2 linked regions of the Canis lupus familiaris genome follow. The protein of the gene in region 1 interacts with the protein of each later gene in a biochemical or structural test. Links are inferred from orthologs where the notes say so. Each region holds a gene or a part of one and is shown in the gene's direction. Other genes may lie near its edges. The genes, in order: CCKBR and CCK.

Region 1 (8,891 bases):
AGTAACATTAATTACATCCGCAAAATCTCTTTTGTCATATAACATAATCATGGAAGTAGCATCTCATCATATTTACAGATTCTACCCACACTCTAGGGAAGAAGATTATACAAAAGTGAAAATCCTTTGGTGCCATTTCATAATTCCACCTACCACAGGAGGGGAAGCCAGGAAAAACATCCCTGAGAAATTCTGATACCTTGAGCTGAGATGAGAAAGATGAGCAGGAGTTAATTAGATAAGGAAGGAAAGTTTTTAGAGACCATGTGTAAAAGTCATATAACTGGCAGACATAAACTCAAAAAAAAATGGACTCAAGAAAGGCCAGTGTGTCTACAGGGGAGAGAACAAGATGCATAGGGACTTGAAATAAGGTGGTTAGAGAGGTCAAGAGGAGCCAGATCACACAGCCTTCAGAGACTGTGAAAAGATTTTCTCTATCCCCAAGGCAAAGGTCAGAAGAGTGGCACAATCAGATTTGTGTTCTGCACATATCACTCTGGCTATAAGGTGGAGGATGGATGTAAGGAGGCATCTGTAAATGTGGTGGACCACTGAAGAAGCTAGGAAAGCAGTGCAAGAAGCAATGGGATAGTGTCAGCGCAGATATAAGCAGATGGATTCAAGGAACACTCAGTGGCTAAAATCAACAGGACTTCATGATTGATTGACTACGGGAGGGAGGCAGTTATGTTCCCCAGGAAGCAGAGTCTAAGACAGAGATTACTGTGGAGGATGTTTACTAAGGAGTGCTCTTGGAGTCAACACCTGTGCAAGAGCAAGGATGAAAGAAGGACCGGGTGAAGGGAGAAGAGGAGCAGTGGCTCAGTCCCCACAATGGCCTAGGTCAGACCCTTGAGGCACTAAGCTGAGCAGTCACTGGATGCAGGATGCTTCAGGAAGGGAACATGACCTCGCCTGAACAGGCTTTTCCTCGGCTCAGCCAACTCCCACAGGGGCTGGAAGGTGCAAGCTGACTTCCCGAAGCACTCTCTGCAGCTGCAGAATAAAATCCCTCACATTTGGAGAGGAGTCTGGGCTTTTTGTCATAGCCTCTGCTCCGGTGGAGCATAAGGGAGTAAGGCAGCCAGGCTGATTCCTAAATTTCTGACTGGTGCATCTTCGCAGATGTACATCCAACCATATGTCATAATGGTTGGCTTACCTGTCACTTTCTCCCCAGGAGAGCTGGAGCTACTCGGGCACAGAATGTAAGAGACAGCTAGTAAACAGCCCTATAGTTGGCACATGCTTTGCTGAATAAGTGAATGCCCATCTCCTCCTATTTCCACTCCTCTCTCCCTCCTACATTTCCTTTACTCCCCGCCCCCACACCCTGCCGTCATCCAATGTGGGAAAAGTCCAGCAGGTTATCTGAGGTGCCACCTGTGCTGGAGCTGAACAAACAGCAAATCAGGCTCTTCTGGTCCAGGGCACTCTGATGGGGAAGGCAACCAGTGCCAGGAGGAGGGGAGTGGGGGGGAGACAGGTGACAACATCCCCACCCGCCTCAGGCTTAAATCCTCCTTATAAACTCCGTGCTAGCTGGAACAGGTCCTCTCCAAAATATAGACTGGATAGGGCTCTCTGAATTCCCCAGAAACTCAGACCTCATCCACAGTCTAATCTGCTCTTTGACCGGTGCCCCCACCTCCAACAGATACTGCTGGGAGCCCATGAGTGGAATTTCAAGGTCATATTGGAGTTTCCTTGGAATGAAGAATGGAGGGCCAGCACGGCTGAAATATAGTGGAGGCAGGTCCTGCCAGAGGAACTGAGCCCACCACCTCAGGCTTGTGTTTGTCCCCTTAAGCTTTGCTCCCGCTGCATCCCAGGGATCTGGCCCCTTTCCGGTCCCCTCTCCTGGGAACCTGACCCTCCCCCCCATGGCTGCTCCACCTGCACTGGGAGCAAACAGGGAGGGCCAGTGTGTCGGTGAGGGTGGGCGAGGGTGGGCGCTGCCTGGAGACCATGAGAGCCAGCCGCCCCCTTTCCTCTTGTGCCCAGGGCTGGGCCGGGATTGGAACCAAGCCCCACCATCAGCGCCCCCCCTCCCCCGTTCATTCTAAGCTGTTCTCACTGCTACCCAGGCGGCCCTGACCCCCAAGTCAGACTCTTCCTCCGCGCAGCCTTTTTGCGAGCCAAGATTGCCCGAGGACAAGTGCTGCCCGCCAACACCCCCGCACACACCCCGCCCCGCCGGCGTCCTTGCCCCGGGGCGGAGGGTTCCTTGGGAGCCTGGGTGTTGCGCCCCAAGATAGGAGGCGGAGGGTGTGGGGGCAGATGCAGGGGCAGATGCAGGGGCCGCCCCAGCCCCTTGCGAAGAGATTCAGGGAACTATGAGAGCGATAGTGTCACGGTCACTGGGGCCACTGCGGCACAGGACAGTAACCCGCGGCTGATGCCACCGTGTTAAGTGCCACCTCCACGTCCCCTGACCCACCAGGGGGAAATGCCGGATCCCACGGCAGCCGCGCCCTAACTCCTCTTACCCTCTCCCCCCCCCGCACCTCCCTCTCCGCCACCCCTCCATCCACCCGTAACCCCCACCGCTACCCTCGCCCATACACGCGCGCACACACACACGCACGCACACACACGCACACACACGCACACACACGCACACTCCCAAGAATTCCACCGAGGGACGGTGGCGAAGGGGAGTGGGCGGGAAGGAAATCTCTAGGAGAAAACCGGGGAGCCCGGGGAGGGGGCGAGCCTGAAGGCCATCGGGGGGCGGGGAGCGCGAGTCCCGAGCGTGGGAGGGGGGCGGGGAGTCACCTGGCGGGACCGCGGCGGCCGAGCCCGGCGGGGAGGCGAGCCTAGGCGGGGCGCGCAGAGGAGGAGCGGCGGGGCAGGGGCCAGGGCTGGGGGCGGGGACCAGGCGGGGCGGGAGCCTCCGCCCGAGCCGCGGCGCGAGCAGGTGGAGCCGCAGCGGGAGCCCGCCCGGCCGAGCGGAGGGAGGCGGTGGCTGGGCCGGGGCCATGGAGCTGCTAAAGCTGAACCGGAGCGCGCAGGGGTCCGGAGCCGGGCCGGGGGCTTCCCTGTGCCGCGCGGGGGGCGCCCTCCTCAACAGCAGCGGTGCGGGCAATCTCAGCTGCGAGCCGCCTCGCCTCCGCGGAGCCGGGACACGAGGTGGGTGCCCCCCTAAACCCCCTCCGCCAGCTCCTTCTCGCTGCACCCCACACCGGTAGAGGCCCCCACTGCCTCCCCGGACGCCTACACCATCCCCTCAGTACTCCCTCGGTCCCCAAACAGCCCCCCCGACACTTCTGCCCCCCCCCACCCCCCCGCCCGTGCCCTCCCCAGCTCATTAAAAACTCCATCACAGCTTCACACCACCTGATGGGAGCCCCCTCACACCCGGGGCTCCCGGCCGCACCCAACACAGAGCCCCCTTCTAGGCACAGACGGTCAGGGGGCAAGGACCTCCTCTTCCCTCCAGGTCTCTCTTCCTTTTAAATCCAGTTCACAGAGCCACAATGGGGAAGGAAAGAAAAGAAAAGAAGGCAAGACTGGGGAAAGAAGAGGGTTGGAGGAGGGAGGGAGCACTCTGGAAGGCTTAAATGGGAAGTCAGTTATAATCTCCTGTGTCCCCCACCCCAACCCCCAGCCTCACCAGAAGAGAGCCTCAAACCTGAGTTAGGCTGGACATGGGGGGCTGCTCCCTAGAGCTGCCTGTCTCCATTTCACTCCTCAAATCCTCCAGCCTCCCAAGGTGGAATTCTAATCAAGACTCTGTCCCCTCTCTCTTCTGTCTCCCAGGCCCTTCCAAGGCCCCTCTCCAACCTGCCTCTCTTTAGGTCTCATCTTCTTACAGCCTGGCTTGGCCCTTCATCTCCTATCCATTGTGCCACCATCTCTTCCCCACCCCCAGTGGTTCCACTTACTCAGTCCCCAAAATGACTTTCACTCCTCCCACGGGCCAACAGCCGCATTTTGTTGATAACCCAGCTCACAATATATGTTTTCCCTTCCTAAACCTTTTCTTTCCTTAAATGTCTCCTGAACACCTGCTGTTGTAGTTGAGCAAGTGCTGGGGACATAGGGATGAAACAGACCCAGTCTAGACCCTCTTCTGTCCACAGTCAAGTGCAAAGGGAGACAAACCAGTGAGAAAATAACAACGTGAGAAGTCCCAGGAGAGGGTCTGAATTGTGGGCATCCAAAGGAGATGGAAACCAAGAACTTCATAGACGAGGTGAACCTGGGAGCTCGGTCTTGAAGTCAGCCTCCTGAGAAGTAACTGAATAAAAATTAAAAAGATGAAGGAAAGCCAAACAAGTGAAGGGGCAGGAATGGCATAAAATAAAATAAAATAAAATAAAATAAAATAAAATAAAATAAATAAAAAACCAGCATTCTAAGCCGAGGAACAATATGATTAAGTGCCCAAAGTTTAAATCTATGGCACTTTCGTTCGCTGTGTCAGTTTCTGAGTGCCTGAAACATACAGTATAAGAGAGGGAAAATGAGCACTCGGGATGAAGACCAGAGTTTATGGTCTAGAGGGTTTATGAAGAGCCTCATAGACCAGGCTAAGGAGTGGGGATTTTTTTTTAAAGATTTTATTTATTTATTTGAGAGAATGAGCACGAGCCAGGGGGAGGAGCAAAGGGAGAGGGAGAAGCAGACTCCCCTCTGAGTAGGGAGCCAGTGCTACCAACCTGGGGCTCAATCCCAAGACCCTGGGATCATGACCTGAACTGAAAGCAGATACTTAACCCACTGAGTTGCCAAGGTACCCCAGGAGTGTGGATTTTTTATTATGAGGGTAATGGCAACTACTGAAAGGCTCCACAGTACAGCCAGGATTAGTTCTATAGTGTAGAGGATGGACTGGAGTACAAGATAGGAAAGGTGGGGGCTTGGGACGCCTGGGTGGCTCAGTGGTTAATCGCCTGCCTTCAACCCAGGGCGTGATCCTGGAGTCCTAGGATCGAATCCTGTATCGGACTCCCTGCATGGAGCCTGCCTCTCTCTGCCTGTGTCTCTGCCTCTCTTTCTCTGTCTCTCATGAATAAATTAATAAAAATCTTTTTAAAAAATGAAAGTGGGGGCTGGGGGGACACTTTAGAAGGCTACTATATTACTCTGGTGAAAGATGATGGGGGCTTAGACTAAGGTATTCACAGTGGGGATGGAGAGAAGTGGGTGGATTTGAGAAGCACTTCTGGAAGGAATCAACAGAATTTGGTGATTCATTGGAAATGGAGAGGGAGGAAGAGGTCAGGGGATGACATCTAGGTCTCTGGCTTGGACAAATAGATTAATGTTGGTGCTATATCATGAAGAAAACAAAGGAACAGAAACAAGTTTGAAGGAGAAGATTATAAATTCAGCTTGGAACCCACTGAGTTTAAATGCTGGTGAGATGCCCAGGTGTGGTTAACCAGTGAACTGTTGAATCTGGTCAGGATCTTAGGGGAGAGGTATCAGCTGAAAATACAGATTTAAAATGTCTTTGCCTACAGGAGTTAATGGAAGCCACGGGAATAGATAAAATCATACAAAGATTATATAGGATAAAAAGAAAAGAGGTCCTGGGGCAGAACCCCAAAGGAAATTGATATTTTTTTTCAAGATTTTATTTATTTATTCATGAGAGACACAGAGAGAGAGAGAGAGAGAGAGAGAGAGAGAGAGGCAGAGACACAGGCAGAGGGAGAAGCAGGCTCCATGCAGGGAGTCTGACGTGGGACTTGATCCCAGGTCTCCAGGATCAGACCCTGGGCCAAAGGTGGCACTAAACCGCTGAGCCACCCGGGCTGCCCAGGAGATTGATGAAAAGGCAAAGGAAGGAGAGTTCATGACGAAGCCATCAAAGAGATAAGAAGGCAAGGAAAAGAGTTCAAGCAGGGTGGGATACATGATGTCAAATGCTGCTGACGTAAGTCAATACGGACAGAACAGCATCCTTCAGATCCAGTAAGGAGGAAGTCCTAACAAGGAGGAGTAATGGGTGTTAAGGCCTGACTTATAGTAGGTTGAGGTTTGGGACAGTGGGGAAGGGGATTATGAGAAGTGAACCAGGTATGTAGACAAGACTTCTGGAAGAAATAGGATAGTGTCTAGAAATAGCACGGAGTTGAGGAATGTTGTGTGTAGTAAGGGAATTGTCTTTGTGTGTGTGTGTGTGTGTGTGTGTGTGTGTGTGTACACAGTAAAGGCACGAGTCTTTTTAAAATGTTGATGAAGAATGGGCCGAGAGAGAGAGGCTGAAGGTGTAGCAGAGAGCAGGGATAGTCATCAGAGCAGGGGACCCTGAGAAAGCAGAACATGAAGTGATTCAGAGCACAGGTGCAAGAATTGCCCTTCCTCATCTGGATGTTGTCGTCTACACAGAACTGTATGTTACCCAGGCAGTTACCCACGAAGACCCTTAGCCACTCACTCGGATATTACCCCCACAGATGCATGTTAGCCAGGCTCACTCCAGTGTTACCAGTAGAAATGTGGATGTTACCCACATTAGTCTTATATGTTATCCACACAGACCTGAGTGCTAATGTTCACTTGGATGCTATCCACAGAACAGCAGCTGTCACCCACAGTTACTTTAACATTGCCCACAGACATTTAGATGTCAGTCATCCATCAAACACACTTGCTTTCATTTTATTATCCACACATAGATATTGCCCGTGCTCACTTAAGCAACCTTTTCCAGATATTACTCATAAAATCATAGATGTTACCCTCATATGTTCAGATATTCCACAAAGACTCAAATATTACCTGTGTTCGCTCAGGTACTCAGTTATTTTACTCAGTCATATTAGTATCTCACTTAACACCTTAACATGTTAACATCTCACGTCCATACCCACTTAAACATAGCCCACACATACTTGGATATTACTTCTGCTTTCTCAGCTACTACCATCATCACTTAGATATTCCCCCAATTACATTCAGACCTCTGAATGTAATCCATGTTTCCTGAAAGCTGTTATCTACAAAATGAGATGTTATCCACAAACATATCTACAGATACTACCTCTGCTCACTCAGATGTTACAATTGCTCTTGCTCACTTCAGCAGCACCTATACTAAAATTGGAACAAATGTTACAGCACTTGCTCAGATATTATCTAAATCTACATGTAACCCACACTCAATCAGGCATTGCCTACAGACACATAGCTGTTACCCACCTCAGACCTTGTCCACAAAAATAAGCATTACTCTCACCCACCCAGATATTATCTCAAAAACTAGTTTTATCCAATTTTCACTCTGATATTGCCTATACATCCTTCTATACTATTCCTGCTCCCTCAGGTAGTGCCCATTAACATTCAGATATCCCCATTTTCCCAGCTATTACCCATAATCAGTTGGATGCTATCCACGCTCACCACAGCATTACCTTGACATCTGTGTTCATGAGTGACCGGATCCAGTATACCTGTGGAAGGTAGGATTTGAGGAATCAGCAGCTTCAGTGTTATTTCTTATAAAGTACTGATTTTTGTTTTATGGCACATTATCTGGGTTTTTGTGCTCATACTTCTCTGTCATCATCTGGACAGAACAAATGCAGATCCTCTAGACCCCAGAAGCAGAAATGAACTGCCAAAGTCTTTTGAATTCCCTGGCTCAGCAGGATGATGCCCACAGGTAATCAAGGCACTCATATTCAAAAAATGCCTCTCCCATTCTTCTACCCCTACATTAAGTTCCTAGTTGTTGGGGATCCCTGGGTGGTGCAGTGGTTTAGCTCCTGCCTTTGGCCCAGGGCGTGATCCTGGAGACCCGGGATCGAATCCCACATCGGACTCCCAGTGCATGGAGCCTGCTTCTCCCTCTGCCTGTATCTCTGCCTCTCTCTCTCTCTCTCTCTCTCTGTGACTATCATAAATTTAAAAAAAAAAAAGTTCCTAGTTGTTGAAGCCACTGTGATCACTCCCGTTGCACCATACAAATGCACACGGATGCATACACGTAGACAGAAACACACACACAAATCTTCATTCCAGTTGCTTTTTTGTGACTTTTGAGAAAACGAATAGATATTTATTTATTTATGTATTTATTTACTTACTTACTTAAGTAGGTTCCATGTCTAGCATGGAGCCACAGGACTTGAATTCATGACCCTGAGATCAAGACCTGAACTGAAATCAAGAGTCAGATGCTTAACAGACCGAGTCACCCAGGCACCCACTAATAGATTATTTTTACAGTAGTTTCAGATTTACAGAAAAAAATGAATGGAAAGCACAGGAAGTTCTCTGTCTCTCTCTCTCTCACACACACACACTCATTCCCCTATTTTTAATATCTTATATTAATACAATACATTTGTTACAATTGATAACCCAGTATTGATATATTATTAGCGAAATTCCATAGTTTACATTAGGGTTCATTCTTTTTGTTATATATTCTATGGGTTTTAACAAATATATAATAACATCTATCTACCTTAGTACCATACAGAACAGTTTCACTGCCCTAAAAACCCTGTGATCTACCTTTTCATCTTTCCCTCCCTCTCCCCAGACTTCTAGCTCTAAGATTTTTTTTTTCACATCTCCTAACTGTTCAACAGTAAAGACTAGGAAAGATAGTGGTGGCTGGAAATAAGGGAATGCCCAGCAAAACAAAAAAGTGATGGGCAATTTTACTGAGACTCTAGTTTTTTGGAGTCCCCATGCAGATTGAGAACTTCATAAAAGTGGGCATAGTTTCATCTTTGCTCCACCAACTTCAGGGATATACATGGGATACATCTGTTGGATGAATGAATGAGAAATGTGCTTTCCATACTCAGAGTGCTATACCAACTTGAATTGTGGTTATTGATTCCAAAACTAGTTAAAGGGGTGCCTGGGTTGCTCAGTTGGTTACGGGGCCGGCTCTTGATTTCAGCTCAGGTCATGAT
Region 2 (8,063 bases), on another chromosome or scaffold:
ACAGACAGCTCGGAAGACCTGTCTCGGAGTCAGAACAGCAGAGGGGGCTGGGCGGGCAGAGCGGCGGGGGGACTTCCGAGCCGGCTTCGTCCCCGTCCCCGTGCCCGTCCCCGTGCCCGTCCCCTGCCCCGTCCCTGTGCCCGTCCCCGTCCCCGTCCCCGTCCCCGTGCCCGTCCCCGTGCCCTGCCCGTGCCCTGCCCCGTCCCCGTCCCCGTGCCCGTCCCCGTGCCCTGCCCCGTCTCCGTCCCCGTGCCCTGCCCGTGCCGCGCCGGGATAGCTATTTGCTAGGAATTAGCCCGCGCCCAGGGCTTTGCTGGATGTTACACGGAGGTGCGGTGCACCCGGCCGTCTCCTCAAATAGACTCCCAAGGGGCTTTAAGATTTAAATTCACTTTCTAAATATTGCAGGAAATTTCAAGGCTTTGGGGATAGAAAAGTGCGGGTGTCGTATCTGCTCGTGGATCTCGAAGGCGACGGCGCTTTGCCAACGACGGAAGACCAAGCGCTTATTTCTGATTCTAAAAAGCCCTTTGGGTTTTGCATCGTAGTTTGTTGCCGGTTCCCGTGTGCACCTTAAAGAAACTTCAGAAACACGGCTTTAATTTCTTGCTCCTGCATTTTAAGCTGCGCTCCTCCCTTCTTCACCCTTTATTTTCCCCCACTGAGAGCTTCTTGGCTCCCGGGGGTCTGGTTTCTCCCAGCTTTAACTCTTGCTTTTCCAGTTACAAGACGGGCGCTCTAACAACACTTTCTGAAACTCAAGGAAAACAGAAGACGTTTCTTCTGCCAGCCCAGGCGGAAGGCTGGGTCCCCGGGACTCCACGGGGTGTGGCCGCCGCGTGCCCCCGCGGCGCCTGGCGAGCCCCTGCCTTGCACCGGCGGGCGCGGCCGGAGCCCCGCGCGCCTGCACTGAGCCCCCGGTGCCTCCGCCAGAGCCCGCGAGGCCCCCGCCTTGTCGTTCACGTCCCCTGTCCCATTGCTGTCCCGCAGCCATGAACGGCGGCGTGTGCCTGTGCGTGCTGCTGGCGGTACTGGCGGCGGGCGCCCTGGCGCAGCCCGTCCCGGCCGACCCGGCGGGCCCGGGGGCGCAGCGGGAGGACGAGGCGCCCCGGAGGCAGCTGAGGGCAGTGCAGAAGGTGGACGGCGAGCCCCGCGCGCACCTGGGCGCCCTGCTGGCCAGGTACATCCAGCAGGCCCGGAAAGGTACGGATGCTCATTCGCCTACGGGGTCCTTATTCCTCTGACCCCGCCTGCGGCTCCCCATCCTGACCCTGTTCCCCAGCGTCCTGCTGATGGAGGTGGGTAGCCCCTGGGAAGGAAACAGGCGGTGCCTTAAGCCGAAAGGTTTCTTCACTTTCGCCCTCTCCCCCCCGCCCGCCCCCCCCCCCCATTGCACTGCGCTGGACAGTACGGTTTTCTGGCCTCCTTTGTAGAAAACTGAGAGCGAATGCGGTGGATTCAATTAATTAAGGAAAACCTTTTTAAAAGAGCTTTCTTGAACTAGTGTTGGCCCGTGTTGCTGCTTAAGTTCAACGCTGTATTATGAAGATATTAAAAGGTAATTATGAAGCAAATTACTGACTCTAAAAGACTTTGCAGATCTACCAAATACCCAATACTGGAAATGCAGAGGAACCGGGAGCCACCCAGGTGTGACACTTGGAAACCCCCTAGCAGGAAGGCATTGATGCTGAGAAAGCTCTTGCGTCCTGACAACAGTGGAAAAAACAGTGACGATGTGTCAGTTTTCACCAAAGAATGTAACAGGAGGAAAGAATCAGTAGCAGTTTTGAGTTCTCCTTGGCAGTGATTTAAAATGATTACTCAAGAGACCTGTTTGTTTTTATTTTGCTGTTAGAGAGGTGGTCCCAATTGCAGCAGGACTGTGCAAGCCAGGTTTCTCAGCATTGATGTCTGTCTGCAGGATTATGGTGATTTGGTGGCTCACTAGCAGGGTGACATACTGACAGCCCTGTCCCTTTCCTGGGCCTGTCTCGTCTGTAAAGCACAGAGAAAGCTAGAGTTCCCTAGGTCCCTTCTAGCATTCTGTGTGATTCCGAGGGAGGCTCATTTGTCTGTAGGCTCCTTAGGAATCATGATTGGGACTGAAACAGTTTTTTTTTTTTTTTTTCAACCAACTTGATCCGCTGTGACATGGATGGCTGTGGGGTGGTGTGCTAAACTAGACCAATGCAGCCAGCCAATAAACCACAGAAAATGCTATTGGGAAGGGTAGAGGGTGGACCCCTTTCCCATGAGGCTTTCTGACCGTCCCATGTGCCAGGGAGGCTTTCCTTGACTAAACAAGGAAAAAATGATGGGCTTGGCTTTCCAGAGTCTCTGATGGTTTCATATGAAGGTAAGATCAAAAGTTTTTCGACCAGGGGAATTCAGAAGGAGAAAAAAAAAAAAAAGATGATTTAAGATGATTTGTTATATTTTGTCCGCTCTTTGGGAAATTGTCCCAGCTACCATCTTCTGTTTTGCTTTCTAACTAAAATTAAATTAAGAGATGTTGGAAATATTAGTCAGATGACAGAGAAAGTCTGAAAACTTCTTGAATTCCTATTGATTATCTGTCTCAAAGTAATTTAATATCTGTCCTTGGATGTCAGTTGAACTTCAGCCAGACCAGTCCGAAATATCATAGGTTTTTCACTGAGCTGTCATCTGGAACCCCCTCCCCATCATCAGGAAAGAGCCACGAGAAACAGGTCTGAGAAACAAGCCAGTTGCCAAACTACTTCCCCAGAACTGACACTTGGCAGTGGCTTTATACTACAAATCTTAGCTGGAAGTTTGTCCCTAGCATCTCTGCTCAGCCACTTTCTCCCTTTGCCTTTAGAATGCTGTACCACACAAGCCCATGCGGGAATGGCAGCCCCTCGGGACTTCAGCTGCCAACACCCACAACCGGCACGAGGCAGAAAATAATCCTACTCGCCTATTTAACAAATATGAACCAGGAAGAAATATTTATACCTATCCTTGAATATTTTACACATTTTGAGATCATACTGGATATGTACTCAACTACAGTACTTATGCTTACAGATTCTAAACACGATAATGTACTCTTCGAGGAGTGCTCAAGAGTTTATTGTTAGAAATTAATTGTCTGCAGAGCTTTCAGTGATTGAGAAGCGATTCTATTGGGGGCAGGGGACATCTAGCATACACCTGCCCCATGCCCAACAAAGCTCTAATGCTACATCTGTAACATCTGTACTGTCTGTTACTCCTCGCTGAAGCCCTGGTTAGTAAGTTCCATTAGGCTCTGGGAGAATATATAACCTACATGACTTTGCACACCTGACACTCTGTTCAAGCCCTGCCCTCCCCAGCGGGACTGGAAGCCAGTCATCTTCCCAGCTGTACTGCCCATTCGGGGGGTTTTAAAGTTTAAAGGAGGCAGGACCTTCAATTCAATTCTGTAAACCAGGTGTAGTTCCTACTTTGTGTCACACTGGAGAAGCGAGTGAGGACCCAGGTAAATGCACACACTGTGAGCACAGAACTGTGTGTGGAATGGAGGGATTGAGGTGTGAAACCAGCACAGCTACCAGGGCTGAATGTGATTCCTGCACCACCCCCCTCCCCCACCCAAGCCCAACAAACCTAGGCTGCTTATGCACCTCGAAGCTGCCGCTTTGCCTTCATTAACTGGAACTTGGGGCTATGCCCAGCCCTTCATGGTGGCATTCATCATCACCAGGCAGAAGAATGGGCTACATTTCTATAACTGGGTACAAATAACTGGATATGCAAGGTTTTTTTGAATGCAAAGACTAGTATTTCACCTGAAAAATGTTGAACAATGAAACAGCCAGGTCTGTTTTCCTTTTGCATAGCTGGAGATACCTGCAAAGAGGCAGGAATGTCTGGATTGACTTTTGATCCCAAGGCTGGGAAGGGATTGAGGTGGGGATGTCAGGAGAAGAATGGGTGGGGACATTACTCTGTATAATTGTTTCTGGTTTTTAATTTAGCTAGCTTCACTTGGTTATCCAATAAGACAGAGAAACTGCTCCTGCAAGGTCATTTATCAATAAATAAGTCATAGTCTGACTCCTTGCAGCCTGTGGGCAGGAGCTGGCAAGGGCAGTCTCATACAGGAGGGTTCGATGCCAGCATCCAGAGCAGTGGGGTCACAGGGGCCCTCATACGATAGGAACCATGGAGCAGTCCTCCATCACTCTGCTCTTAAAGTCCCCTGGGCTTTCCCCCTTTGAGGTCCCTGAGGGACATTTCTTGCCTCTTAGCTTGCACAAAAGAAGGCATTATACTGATTTCACATCCAGAAGGTCACTGTCTGTGATCTGTGGGCTAGGACTGTGTCATATGTCTCCAAAGAAACTGCTTCTTCATGTCCCTGTTCGCTCAATGTGAATTACACGTGAGAATCATCCTGTTCCTGACGACTTAACTCCTGAAGGTCCATTTTTCATTCAGTTATTGCATTTTGGTCAAAAGGGATGAATTAACCTCCTTATTACCTCTCTGCCCACTCTTCTTTGAATGCCACTGACGTAAGATTTTAATCTGACAGTGTGTCTTACTCTCATTATCATTTTGAAAAAGAAGGTAGTTTCAAATTAATTTGTACACAGTATTTGTCTAGCAGTGGAACTTGACTCTATTTTTTAAACCATTCTAACATCAAAATATTGTAACTAAAAAAAAAACCAAAATATTGTAACTGCGTCACCTTAACAATAGTCAGGTATGCTCGGGATATCAAGGGGCAAATTCCAGAAATGGGTAAGTACCAAGGAAACCCTTGCTTGGCATCTACTGAGGGCCAGCTACCACGGTGGAAACACCCCAAGGAGTAGGAAAACTAAGGCATATCTAAGCTGTGGAAGGCCACAAATCTGTGGATTCACTTAAATCCTTATAGATTGGAAGCCATACCCATGGCTAGTAAATACTACTCTCTCTAGTGACACAGACTTGGGTCCTTCTCTTAGATTTTGGTCTAGTAATCCATCCCACTGTTGGAACAGCTCTTTGATACCTTTAAGGAGGAGCTTTTGTATTGTCTGGCTTTTCCCATTGTTCTCCTTTACAGATTGAAATAGTGATGCTCTTAGATGTAATGGCCCTGCTTCCTTTGCCCCTGCCCCTTGTAGCTCCTTCTGGCCGAATGTCCGTCATTAAGAACCTGCAGAACCTGGACCCCAGTCACAGGATAAGCGACCGGGACTACATGGGCTGGATGGATTTTGGCCGGCGTAGTGCTGAGGAGTATGAATACCCCTCCTAAGGGACCCTGCCTTTGTCGGCACACCAGGAAGCAACCGCCTGGCTCAGAAGAGGCAGAAAAAGAAAACAATCACACTCATAAGTCATTGTCTCTGAAGTTTGACATTTTCATTATCTATTTATTAAGTTTTCAATGTGAAAAATGTCTGTAAGATTGTCCAGTGCAACCTCACACCTCACCAGAATTGTACAAATGGAAAGCAAAACATTTTCCTCGTCTGTGATGCGTGGTCCTAAAGTGTTGCTATGCTATTAAAATAATTTCATTCTGCTCCCTAGTCCGCTGTGTCTATCGAGCGCAAAGGGTTCCATATAATCCACAGGACCTTCAAGGAGGAAAGCCTGAGATAATACCCAAGGACAAACCCCTGGCATAGATGGTCCCAGAAAGGGCTCGAGAGATGAGGGTTGGACATGAGGTTAACTTCTCTACTGCCAGGCAAAATGGCCAGTAAAAGGACCTTCTGGGTCAGTTCCATGGCCCAGCTCTGGCCACCCTGGGTGTGGGGCCCCTGCTGGGCTTCACTGCAAAAAGAAAACATGCCCTGCTTGCACTGAGCACTCATTTGTCTGGGTAAAGACCAGAGATGCAGCTTGGGTTGGAGCCTCCCACCTGCCCATCCCTGTAGGATGTAGTAACCCCATCCCTCACCAGGACTTCTTTGGGATTCTCTTGGCCTTTAAACAAATTATGGGGCAAATGCTAGTCAGTGCTTTCACATCCCTTGGATCTCTCCATGGCCCTGTGGCACCGAGGTTATTGTCCTTTTACAGATGAGGAAACAGGTCCCAAGAGGTAAAAGTGACTGGCCCACAGTTCCCCAGCTAATGAGATTCACAGACTTGATTGCTCCCAGTAGCATGACCTCCATCACCCGAGCCCTTCCAGACTCTGGAGTACATGTGAATCACCAGGGAATCTTATAACTCACACATTCTGACTCAACAAGTCTGGCCTTGGGCCTGAGCAAGCTCCCAGGTGAAACCAGTGTGGTGGGTCCTGGACCACACTTGGGGTGGCAGTGGTCTAGGGAGGAGCCTGTGATTACAATCCCCTGGGTCTAACCATATTTCAGAGACATATTTCATAGCATGTTGGGTGATTCTAGTAGCTACCTGAAGCAGAAACTCTCCTTTCTTGGGCCAATCCCTCCATTGGGTCTCTGTAGGGGTCCAGAAAAGAAATTATTTCAAGGGGACACCCAGAGATAATCTGACACCAGCTACCCAAGGTACAGTCCTTCTATGCCTCTTAGCCAAGGCTTTCAGGAACCTCAGGTTCCTATACAGCAAAGGCCCCATGTGGCCTGATGCAGCAGGGCATGCAGCCCCAAAGGAAAAGACATTGGAAAGAATGCTGGCGAATCTATAACTGGTCCCAGATGGTTCGTTCTCAGTCCAGGGCTACCCTGCAGGCACATAGTGCCATCTCCCTTGGTGGTAGAAAAATGACACCAGTCCTCTTTCTCTGAGGACTTTACAATTCTTTAACTTGAAGTTAGCATTCAGTGCAAAACTTAGACTCTGAATAGACAACACATTATATTGTTCCTTTGTGAGGTCATTTCCTCATTCAGTCCCTACAATATGGCCTCTGCTTTGTATCTCAGGGGTCCAAGCCCTGGCCAAATACTCAGATGCATATGTTTTTAGTGCAGAACACACACATCTCACAAAAAAACAAAACAAACAAACAAACAAACAAAAAAAAAACCCTTTTTTTCCAGGTAGGTAAGGGTAATTGGGTATAGATGATGACCTGTGTGTGTTGTGTGTGTGTGTGTGTGTGTGTGTGTGTGTGTGTGTGTGTTGGGGTGAAGGCTGGTGAAAGACTTAGAATTTAATATTAAGTTAGCAGTGGGGACTGGGTGAGAGAGGTCTGATCTGAATTAATAATTTATAAGTCATCAGAGAAGTAGATGGTAAAGTATCATTTTCAGAAATAAAGATGGGAATCATACAAATATAAATGAACATATATCAAAGATGTTATTTTACTCATTAATAAAGGACCAGTAAGATGTCCTATCATTTCAAAGGAGAATCTAAAGGACAGACACATAGAGGCAGTCAAGAATGCTGAAATGATGGGGCACCTGGTTGGCTCACTGGTTGAGTGTCTACCTTCGGCTCAGGTCGTAATCCCAGGGTCCTGGAATCAAGTCCCAAATCAAGCTCCCCCAGGGAGCCTACTTCTCCGTCTGCCAATGTTTCTGCCTCTATCTGTGTCTCTCATGGATAAATACATAAAATCTTTAAAAAAATAGTACTGAAATGAATATCCTGATGGACACAAAACTGGGTTGTATAGTTAGGCCAATAAAATGGCATGTGCAGAATAATCTGCTATCCAGGGCAGAAATAAGTTGTATTTTGGGGGGACAATATTCGCTTACATTTCTATAGACAAGAAGTATTTGCAGGACTGTCAGTTTTCTGTGGCTTACAAAGTAGCCCAGTCGGAAACACAGACCTTCAACAGCATCTGATCACTACCTGGAGTCCCACTGAGAGGACACCCACTAGTCCCCTTCACTCATTTCAAAGTCTCACAGTTTTTCCTAATGCAGGAAAGGGGAAGGAAAAGAACATTTTCTGGCCTCCTCAGGGGTGCAGGACTCTGTACAAGGCAACTCGTGAGCACCAGTTCAGGATGCTGTCCCAATCCTGCAAGCAAGGTGACCCCATTTTTCAAAGAGGAAGCTGGAGCTCAGAGAGGCTCAGTGACTTATCTTGCACTCTGCTCACACATGGCTGTGCCAGGGTTGAAGCAGTCAATTCTGAACTTTTTATGAGGT

Evidence for each region.
Region 2: the proteins of CCKBR (region 1) and CCK form a complex in vitro, tested with the Homo sapiens proteins (3 studies listed by BioGRID). The link is inferred for Canis lupus familiaris from reciprocal best matches to the Homo sapiens genes CCKBR and CCK.

What each region holds. Positions count from the first base shown.
Region 1 is NC_049242.1:30,100,553-30,109,443, forward strand, and holds the start of CCKBR (gastrin/cholecystokinin type B receptor), read left to right. Parts: upstream 1-2,984; coding exon 2,985-3,135; intron 3,136-4,088; exon of another isoform or gene 4,089-4,201; intron 4,202-7,536; exon of another isoform or gene 7,537-7,611; coding exon of another isoform or gene 7,612-7,624; intron 7,625-8,891. UniProt on the Homo sapiens protein: Receptor for gastrin and cholecystokinin. The CCK-B receptors occur throughout the central nervous system where they modulate anxiety, analgesia, arousal, and neuroleptic activity.
Region 2 is NC_049244.1:11,647,973-11,656,035, reverse strand, and holds the end of CCK (cholecystokinins), read left to right. Parts: intron 1-990; 5' UTR 991-992; coding exon 993-1,203; intron 1,204-5,132; coding exon 5,133-5,266; 3' UTR 5,267-5,543; downstream 5,544-8,063. UniProt on the Homo sapiens protein: This peptide hormone induces gall bladder contraction and the release of pancreatic enzymes in the gut. Its function in the brain is not clear.